Tribolium castaneum: one gene and its partner. The protein of the gene in region 1 interacts with the protein of each later gene in a biochemical or structural test. Links are inferred from orthologs where the notes say so. Each region holds a gene or a part of one and is shown on either strand. Other genes may lie near its edges.

The links. The genes of interacting proteins can lie anywhere in the genome.
Region 2: the proteins of eIF2beta (region 1) and eIF2alpha form a complex in vitro, tested with the Homo sapiens proteins (2 studies listed by BioGRID and IntAct). The link is inferred for Tribolium castaneum from reciprocal best matches to the Homo sapiens genes EIF2S2 and EIF2S1.

What each region holds. Positions count from the first base shown.
Region 1 is NC_087394.1:663,228-668,148, forward strand, and holds eIF2beta (eukaryotic translation initiation factor 2 subunit 2), read left to right. Parts: upstream 1-1,948; 5' UTR 1,949-2,116; coding exon 2,117-2,134; intron 2,135-2,210; coding exon 2,211-2,607; intron 2,608-2,671; coding exon 2,672-2,692; intron 2,693-3,874; coding exon 3,875-4,214; intron 4,215-4,272; coding exon 4,273-4,456; 3' UTR 4,457-4,573; downstream 4,574-4,921.
Region 2 is NC_087396.1:10,999,046-11,003,114, reverse strand, and holds eIF2alpha (eukaryotic translation initiation factor 2 subunit 1), read right to left. Parts: upstream 2,527-4,069; 5' UTR 2,384-2,526; intron 2,269-2,383; 5' UTR 2,263-2,268; coding exon 1,793-2,262; intron 1,738-1,792; coding exon 1,505-1,737; intron 1,454-1,504; coding exon 1,338-1,453; intron 1,286-1,337; coding exon 1,121-1,285; 3' UTR 1,010-1,120; downstream 1-1,009. Other genes in the region: Prosbeta1 (proteasome subunit beta type-6), read left to right, coding at 104-175, 233-300, 352-483, 531-805, 853-980; protein DEK, read left to right, coding at 3,016-3,069, 3,310-3,726, 3,775-4,069. UniProt on the Homo sapiens protein: Member of the eIF2 complex that functions in the early steps of protein synthesis by forming a ternary complex with GTP and initiator tRNA. This complex binds to a 40S ribosomal subunit, followed by mRNA binding to form a 43S pre-initiation complex (43S PIC).

The DNA of each region.
Region 1 (4,921 bases):
TTGGGGGAAGAGCTGTGATTATTTTAAATTACGTTTTAAAATTTTAAATTGCTCGACTTACTTGAAGATTTTGATGAAATCTGTGCTATCGCTGGTCATTTTTGGCAATGTGTTGTGTGAGATTAAACAGTTTTTTATCGTTGTTGACTGTGAATATATTGAGGGGTTTTGATTAGATAAACTACTCTCAAACTTATCAATTATTCATTTTGGGGTTTATCTAAATTAGATTTGATCTTTTCTATTAATTATGAACAGAAATCCATTAAATCATTTTGATTATTGGGATAAAAGTGATTTATGGAAACAATAAATGCAACTTTTTTATCAAATAGATAAAAGTTTATTCTATTTTTGGCAAAATAAGTACACGTGCTGCTAATGTAAATAATCTACAATAAAAAAATCACCAGTTAAGCTAGAAATTTCATTATTTTGTTTATTTTATTGTTTTCATTGCAAGAATTATCGCTAAAAATAAGTAAAAGCTTATCCCTTTTTTTCCATTTAAGGTAACAATTAAGATTTTTTTAGTAGATTTTCTAGAAACCGCTTGAAAAACTATTAAAAACTAAAACGAAATTGAAGCCGAAAAAGTCAAAATTCAGTAAATACATCGTTCAAAGCATTAGACACGTTTTTGAACTGGAATTTTTGTTTTTTTTAACAAGTATTTTTTTAACGAGTATTTGACGGTATTTTTGCGGTAAAAACTAAATTTAAAAAAGAAATTCTTTGAAACTAGTTAAAAAAATTATCAAATTTGATCGAAAATAAGCAAAATGTAATCAAAAATAAACCAAAATAATTTAAAATCTAGCCAAAAGTAATATTATTTGACATTTCTCAATTCGGTAATACGTCCATAGACTAAAATTTCTAGGTATTTTTTAACATCTTAACTTATTTCACCCGATTTAGCTAGTTTTTAAGCAAAATTAAATCAAAAATAAACCGAAAAACTCAAAATTTAGTCTAAAATATCTTTCAGACCATTAGAAAATGTTATTGAACAAAAGTTTTATTTTTTTTAAACAAACCGAAAAATCACTAACTACATCAAAAATTACATTATTTTAGTCTTTATTTCGAGTATTTGACCGTATTTTTACATTGTATACTGATATTTTTTAAAAATTTGATTGAAAATAAGCAAAATTTAATCAAAAATAAACAGAAAAAACCTAAAATCTAGGCAAAGACCGAAAAAGTCACGTCATAGATTATCTTTTTCTAAAATTATTAATCATTGTTTTGAATTTTTTGAATTTCGAACTAAAGAATTTTTTGAAAAAATTCCTTAAAAGCTTTCTCAAAGAAAAGGTAAAAATAATATTATTTAGTTCGATTTTTGGTCAAAAACAAAGCCTTTAGGTATGTTTTTTAATCCAAAAAAAGGTTTTTTTTGTGAGATTTTTATTAAACGAAGAGAATCACAAATTAGAACAGATTAAACTAAAATTACATGCTTTTTTCGATATTTCGAAAAATAGAATCTTCTTTAAAAATCTTTAAAAAATCATCTAAATTGATGTTATTTTAACTTGTTCCACTCAATTTAGATCATTTTGGAGCAAAATTTCGTCAAAAATAAGGCGAAAAACTTACCTTTATTATTTTGATTTTAATAATTTTTAAAACAGTCTTTTGCAACATTTCGCTAAGATAGACGAAAAAACACTCTATCTAATAAACAATTATATTACTGTTGTCCTTTATTAGTGTTTTTACGAATGTTTTTTTCGCGAAATATCGTTTAAATTTCAACAAAATTAAATTAAAACTAAAACAAAATTTGTAAATACGTTGAAAATAACATGATTTTGAGCGTTTTTTAACAAAAAGCGCAAATATCATGTAAAATAACGATAAAAACTAAGATCTTGTTAAGAAATTCACAAAAAAAACTAACTTTTTGAATTCCAATCTGGTGAATTAATTTTTTTCGTGTTGGCACCGCCTTGCCACTTTTCACGTGTGGTTATTCGAGTTGGCTGATGCAATAATTCCTCAGCGATTTTAAGTGATTTTTCCGGAAAATTCGCAGTTTTAGCCGTTTTCCCCACCGAAGCCAAGTTTCCTGTTTAGTGAAAAGCGCCCCAAAAGTGTGAAAATCATGGCAGAGGACGACGCCGTGAGTAAAACAGGCCCAATCTGTCAGGGCCAAAAGTAAGGTTATGTGCACGATTTTATCGTAAATAAATTTCCAGATTTTCGATCCTTCGCTCAAAAAGAAAAAAAAGAAGAAGAAGACCGCGTTCGATATCGAGGCGGCGTTGGCCGAGGGCGGGAACGACGCGCAAGACGCCGCCCCCGAGCCCGACACTGCCAAGGAGGACGAGCAAGATGATGCAAATGTTGATATAGATTTGGACTTCACCAAGAAGAAAAAGAAGAAGAAGAAGCCCTTCACGGCCGAGGATTTGGACGCCGTTGCTGGGGAGGGGAAGGACGAGGGGAACGAAGGGGGGAATCAGGATGAGGGGGCTCTTGATGATAACTTCGACCTGGAAGTGGACTTCAGTAAAACCAAGAAGAAAAAGAAGAAGAAGAATCTGGGGGATCTGATCGCAGAGGCTGATGAGAAGCATGAAGACAAGGAAAATGGTAATTATTTTTTTGAGGTTTTTTGGGGATTATTTTCTTGTTTGTCTAACATGCTGCACTTTAGTTGAGCGAATTCCGGAATCAGGTAACGTTTTTTTCATTAAAAATACGTACAACTGTTGTAATTATTGTGCAATTTCGTAAAAAAGAATGATGGTATTAGTGTAGCTCTTACTTTTTTTATCTTTTCGAAATATCAATTTATTAAAAGAAAATTAAAAAAAAAGATTTAACTCTTAAGAGAGTTTTTTAATTTTTTTTTGGTAAATATTTATTGATAATTATATACAATAAGTTTGTTTGTCTATAGGTAAAAATTCATATATTTTTTTTTTTCTGAAAATTTAATAAAAACGTACTATTTTTGGCTTTTGTTAGGGCGGATTTAACAAAAATTTCGTATTTCTTGAGCGTTTAACAACCCAAAAAAATTTATTGTTTTTTTTTCTCTCAATTATGGTTATTTTTGCATTTTTTAAGCCTTTGAGTTTTTATTTCGAGAATGTTTTTTTCCGAATGAGTCAACTAGTAGTTGATTTTAGCTAGTTTAGGTGACTAGATAAAAAAAACTCACTTTTAGCAAGATTTAGTTCAAATAACTCAAAATATTACACATTTTAGTCGGAAATGACTTATAATTATTGTGCATTTTTGTAAAAGAGCTTAAATGATGGTATTAGTGTTGCTCTTAGTGTTTTTTATATTTTCTCAAAATATATATTAAAAGAAAATTAAAAGGTAAAGATTTAACTAAGAGAAAAAAAAACAAAAATGATCAATAGATTTTTTAAATATTTTTCCCCTGTTTGGTTTTTTATTGAAAAATGTATAAGTCGAATATTTTTGTCTACTGGGTTAAAAGTTCATTTTTTTTGTTTTATTTTTTATTTGAGTTAAACTCACTTTTTACAAAAATTTTTTCAAATATTTAAAAAAAATACATGTTTAAGTTGGAAATAACGTATTTTTTTCGGGCGTTTATGGAGGTTTTTTTGTTAACAAATGTTTTTTTTTTAAGATTTTGCTTGGAATTGCCAATAAACTAATTATGCATTTGGCCAAAAATTCGGATATTCTTGCTTTTTTGAACACTAAAGTCTCTAAGATTTGTTTGTTTGTTTTTGAAAAAACACTTATTATTACCAAAAATTTCGTTCAATAAATCAATTAGGTAATTAAATTAATATTAATTAGGTAAAAAAACAAGTAATACCATCATTCACATGAGTGTTGATTTATTTTTTTAACTGAAATTTTTGTTATTTAGTGGATGAAAACTCAGCCGTTTGGATGACCTCCGATCGTGATTACACCTACGATGAGCTTTTGAAACGTGCCTTTGAAATAATGCGCGATAAAAATCCCGATATGGCCGCTGGCAAAAAACAAAAATTCGTTATGAGACCACCACAAGTCGTCCGAATTGGTACTAAAAAATCGTCATTTGCCAATTTTACAGAAATCTGTAAAATGCTCCATCGTCAACCGAAACATTTACTCGATTTTCTATTGGCTGAATTAGGTACAAGCGGTTCAGTGGACGGCAACAGTCAATTGATAATCAAAGGTCGCTTCCAACAGAAACAAATCGAAAATGTTTTAAGAAGGTTAGTTGCTCGTGCCTTCGGCCCTCGTCACAAATTTTTCTGTTATTTTTTTCTACAGGTATATTAAAGAGTACGTCACGTGTCACACGTGTCGTTCCCCCGATACAATTCTCCAGAAGGACACTCGATTATTCTTTTTACAATGCGAAACATGTGGTTCCAGATGTTCAGTAGCAAGTATCAAGTCAGGTTTCCAGGCTGTTACCTCAAAACGTGCTGCAATAAGAGCGAAAACAGCCTAGATGGTAGGTTAGAGGCGCGCAATATTTATACTTATTTTTAATTCAAAGTAGGTGTTGTGTACACTTTGTACGTAATTAGCCAATTGTTGAATAAACAAGATTGTGACACAAGAAAAATTATTTCAAACCGAACTAAACTACAATTTCCTAAGTCTAACATTTCCTAATTTAACAAAAAACACAACGAAAAAAATTGTATCAAAGTTACACCCGTTTTTATGTTTTAAAAAAATGTAACGTTATGGCCAAATTTGAATGTTCCTGTTGTCGGAATGAATGGAAATTTTGCATGCTTACGTAATCTGCGTGCATTCTACATATACACATAATTTTATACTTTTTTCGTGTTAACGGTTTAAAAGATTTTCTGAAATAATGTTATTTTTGACTAGATTTTAAGTTTTTTTTTGGCTAAATTGTGCTTAATGTTAGGAAAATTTTCGAAAAAATATATTTTGCCTGCAA
Region 2 (4,069 bases), on another chromosome or scaffold:
AGATTCGCTTCTTCCTCTCTCTTATTCTATGGGCGACACTGTTATTGTCAATCAAAAATTCTCTTGTTACCGCTTTTTACTTGTGAATTAATTTTCCCGTAAAATGCCACCTGTAACAAGTGATTACGGCATGAATGCTGAAAGTGACTGGATGAACGCTGCCCACAGCACTGGTGTAAGTTTTTCCCCGAAAAATTCGGTGAGGTTAGGTCCCCATGACTTGTTGTTTTAGACCTCTATTATGGCAGCGGAATTCAATGGGGGCGTAATTATTGGGGCCGATTCTCGAACCACTACGGGGTAACACACTCAATATATCACTATATAAAAAATAACCCCCACTAATTGTAGAGCATACATCGCAAATCGTGTCACAGACAAACTGACTAAAGTAACCGACCATATTTACTGCTGCCGCTCTGGCTCCGCGGCCGATACCCAGGCTATTGCGGACATTGTGGCCTACCATCTAAGTTTTCATGGGTAGAGATAATTTTAGCTAATTTTTTTATAAAAATTTTGGTTTGTAGAATGGAGTTAGGGGAAGAGCCTTTGGTGGAGACAGGGGCTGCGGTTTTTCGCGAGTTGTGTTACAACTATCGTGATTCCCTAATGGCCGGTATTCTGGTTGCGGGTTGGGATAAACGTAAAGGGGGGCAAGTGTACTCAATCCCCATTGGAGGCATGTGTGTGAGACAGCAGGTCTCCATTGGGGGTTCAGGCTCTAGTTACGTGTACGGGTACGTTGACGCCAACTATAAACCGAACATGTCGAAGGAAGAGTGTGTTAAATTCATTACAAACAGTAGGTTATTTTTTCGTGAGAAATTTTTTCTAACTCAGTTTTTACAGCTTTGGCACTCGCAATGTCACGCGATGGTTCTTCGGGTGGTGTGGTTAGATTAGGAATTATTACAGAGGAGGGAATCGAGCGCAGAGTGGTCTTGGGCGACCAACTGCCAAAATTCTTTGAGGGTTAAATTGTATTTTTTTCTTTATAATAAACACATTTTCACCTTTACAATATTTTATTGGCTTAAAATATTGAATTAAACCACAAGCTTCAATATAAAAACTTATAATACACATGGTATTTAATCATAAAACGTTTGAGGTTTGTTTAATCTTCTTCAGGTTCAGATTCATTATCATTCTCATTGTAAACTTGTCCCTCATCTCCGTCTTCTTCATCGTCGTCGTCGCCCGCAACTTCAGTGTTTTCCAATTCGGCTCTTTCCATTTGTCTTTGCAGCTCAGCTTCATCGGTAGCTGTCACAACTTTAGGCTAAAAATTTACGTAAAAAGCAGGTCCTAAACAAGGAAATTAAATCACTTACAGCCATCTGAACGTTAAAAACGCCACCTAATTCAGAAATTGTGGCTTTTATTTTCTCAATTGCATCGTTTAGTATTTTCAGCCCGTCTTGTTTTTCAGGCGTAGAAGTCGTCATTACTAAAATTACACGGATAAATAATTAATTCTAGTTGGAAATGAGTTTTTTACCGTAGAGAGGAGGAGCAATGAGATTGATTTTAATTGGCAATTCATCAGTTGAAAGCGACAAACCGGACTTCAAGGCTGTCTTCACAGCGTCAATTCCTTCATAGCCGTAACATGCACATTCAATATCAGCACGGATTTTGACTGCTTGAGAAGTCAGTTTCCTCTTGATGTTGCTCAACAATACTTCCTTGGTTCTATCATCCAACTGACATTCGGCCAATATACTGGGATCACTGAAAATTACACAACGATTATATTGTAATATTGTTGTTTAATTGTAATAATTACGAGACAGCCTGCTTGAAGAAATCATAAGCACTTGCTTTATTTTTCTTGTACTTTTCCTCAAAGTACCACGCAGTTTTTTGGTACAATTCCTCCAACTGCTCATCTGACTCATATTTGAGCAATTCAGCGACGTGTCTAAGAATCGAATTGACGGCCTTTGCTTTCGCAAATCTTTCAGTGCACTTCTCGACATCCTCAGCACTAACACGCCTTTTTGACAAGTCAATATAACCCTTGTCCTTGTCCACTCTTATTACAACAACGGGTTCCGTTTTACCTACTCTAATTAATTTATTTATGGAACGAATACGTCTTCTCGACAATTCGGAAAGCAAAATCATGCCTTCAATGTTCTTATATTCCAGTAAATGAACGTAAGCCCCCATTTCGGCAATGGCTCGAACGTTCACCATCACCACATCCTCGACTTCAGGGTACTTTTCCCTGTAAAATCTACAGGAGAGAGGCATTTTTACCTGAAAATATGGAAATGAATTTTTAGGTTATATTCACAAAAAGTAGCTTTAACGAAAAGTTAATGAGTTTATGTAAGAATAAATTATCATAAAAAGTTACGGTTGTTATAAATACCTATATTATTATCAAAATATATGAAAAAATGATGAAATTCCGAAATAACTTCACGTGTGACAGCACAGCCACAACCTGCAAGCTTTTCTCTGTATTATTCAACGCATCAAATATGACTATCTTTGTTCAATACAAGTGATTTGTATATCGCTTTCTCTTTTGGCGATGTAACGTGTGCCTAAGACCGAAAAAATTTAAGAGGATTATTTTATATTCAATTAATGCATTATTATTGAAAGATGAAATTTGGATTCGATTCGTTGTCATATTTAAGATCACAACCGCTTCTCTAAAAATAAGTTTGATAAAAAAAATATTTTCCATTTTTCCGGCAAATGAGTCACGTCGGCACTTTAGCCACAGCCAAAATAAATGAAAAAAGTAACTGCTACGATGGCTCGAAAAGTTTCCTAAATGATAGAAATTCGGCCTTGAACAGCCCCTAATTACCTGAAATTGGAAATTCTCTTGATTTCTGTGTTTGAAAAGTGCTAGTAGCGTCGCAGTTTCGAAAAAATTTCAGTAAGACAGGCATTTATTGAACCGTTTTGCACAGTGGCCCCATGCTACATTTGCATTGGTCGATTATGCAATGCGTGTGACTTCTTATTGGACATTTCTAGACGCGGTATATGACAGTTAAGATGTCTAGTGAAGGTGATTCTTCTAAAAATCTCTCTTCAGAGGTAAGTACCCTCAATTATTTATTTTCGAAAAAATAGATCGTGACCTGGGCCTCTACTGATGTTAAATTCGCAATTTTATCGCAACGCTTTCGTTGGAAAACCGCTTAAAAAACAACATGTTAGTGAAAGAAATTTCAACATGGCGTATGTTGATATTTGAAAAAGCGGGAAACCGAAAATTACATCAAAAATAAAGTTGCTGGTGTGGGAAAATAACGAAAAAATTGTATTCTGTTATAGTCTAACGAGAAGAACGAGGCCGAAAATACCGATTCTTCTCAAGACGCAAAAGACGCCAAGCCTGACGCAGCAACTGAAAACAGCGTCGAAAAGAAGGAGGAGGACGCAAAGCCCAAGGAGGCCCCAAATGAGGCTTCAGATGAGGCCGATAAAAAGCCTGAAACCGATAAATCGGCAACAGATAAAGTAGAAAACGCAAAAGGCGACACGAAGCCTTCCGAGAAAAAGGAGGAGAAAACTAAAGCTAAGGAGAAGGATGAGGAGGAAAACAGCGAGCAGGAGGATGAAAAGAGTGAGGACGGTGGTGATGACGAAAAAGACGTGCCATTACTGGACCAACCTTTGGAGAAGTCTGGGAAACGGGAGCGGAAAAATGTACAGCGTTTCAATGAGGAATTTCCATCGGAAACTAAAGAAGTACGTATCTAAAAATGAGTGCTGTTTGTTCTATTTGTTGTATTTAAGGTTGTAAAGGTTGAGATACCCAATGGGTCTGGTACTTCTCTGGGTGCAATACCGCGGATTGACGCGTCAATTTCCCGGTTTAAAAACGAAGATATGAGACTTCTTCACAAGATTTTGTTCAAGTTGCAAGGAAAGGTTACAATGATTAAGAAAAATATCAAAAAGTTCAATGGCTTTGAATTTAAAAAAGGTTCAGAGGAGTATTCTAAAAAGGTGGCATCTATGACTAAGTGTGATGTAAAACAACTGAAAAGCATTTGCGAGATGCTAGACCTTCAGAAAACGGGGTCTAAAG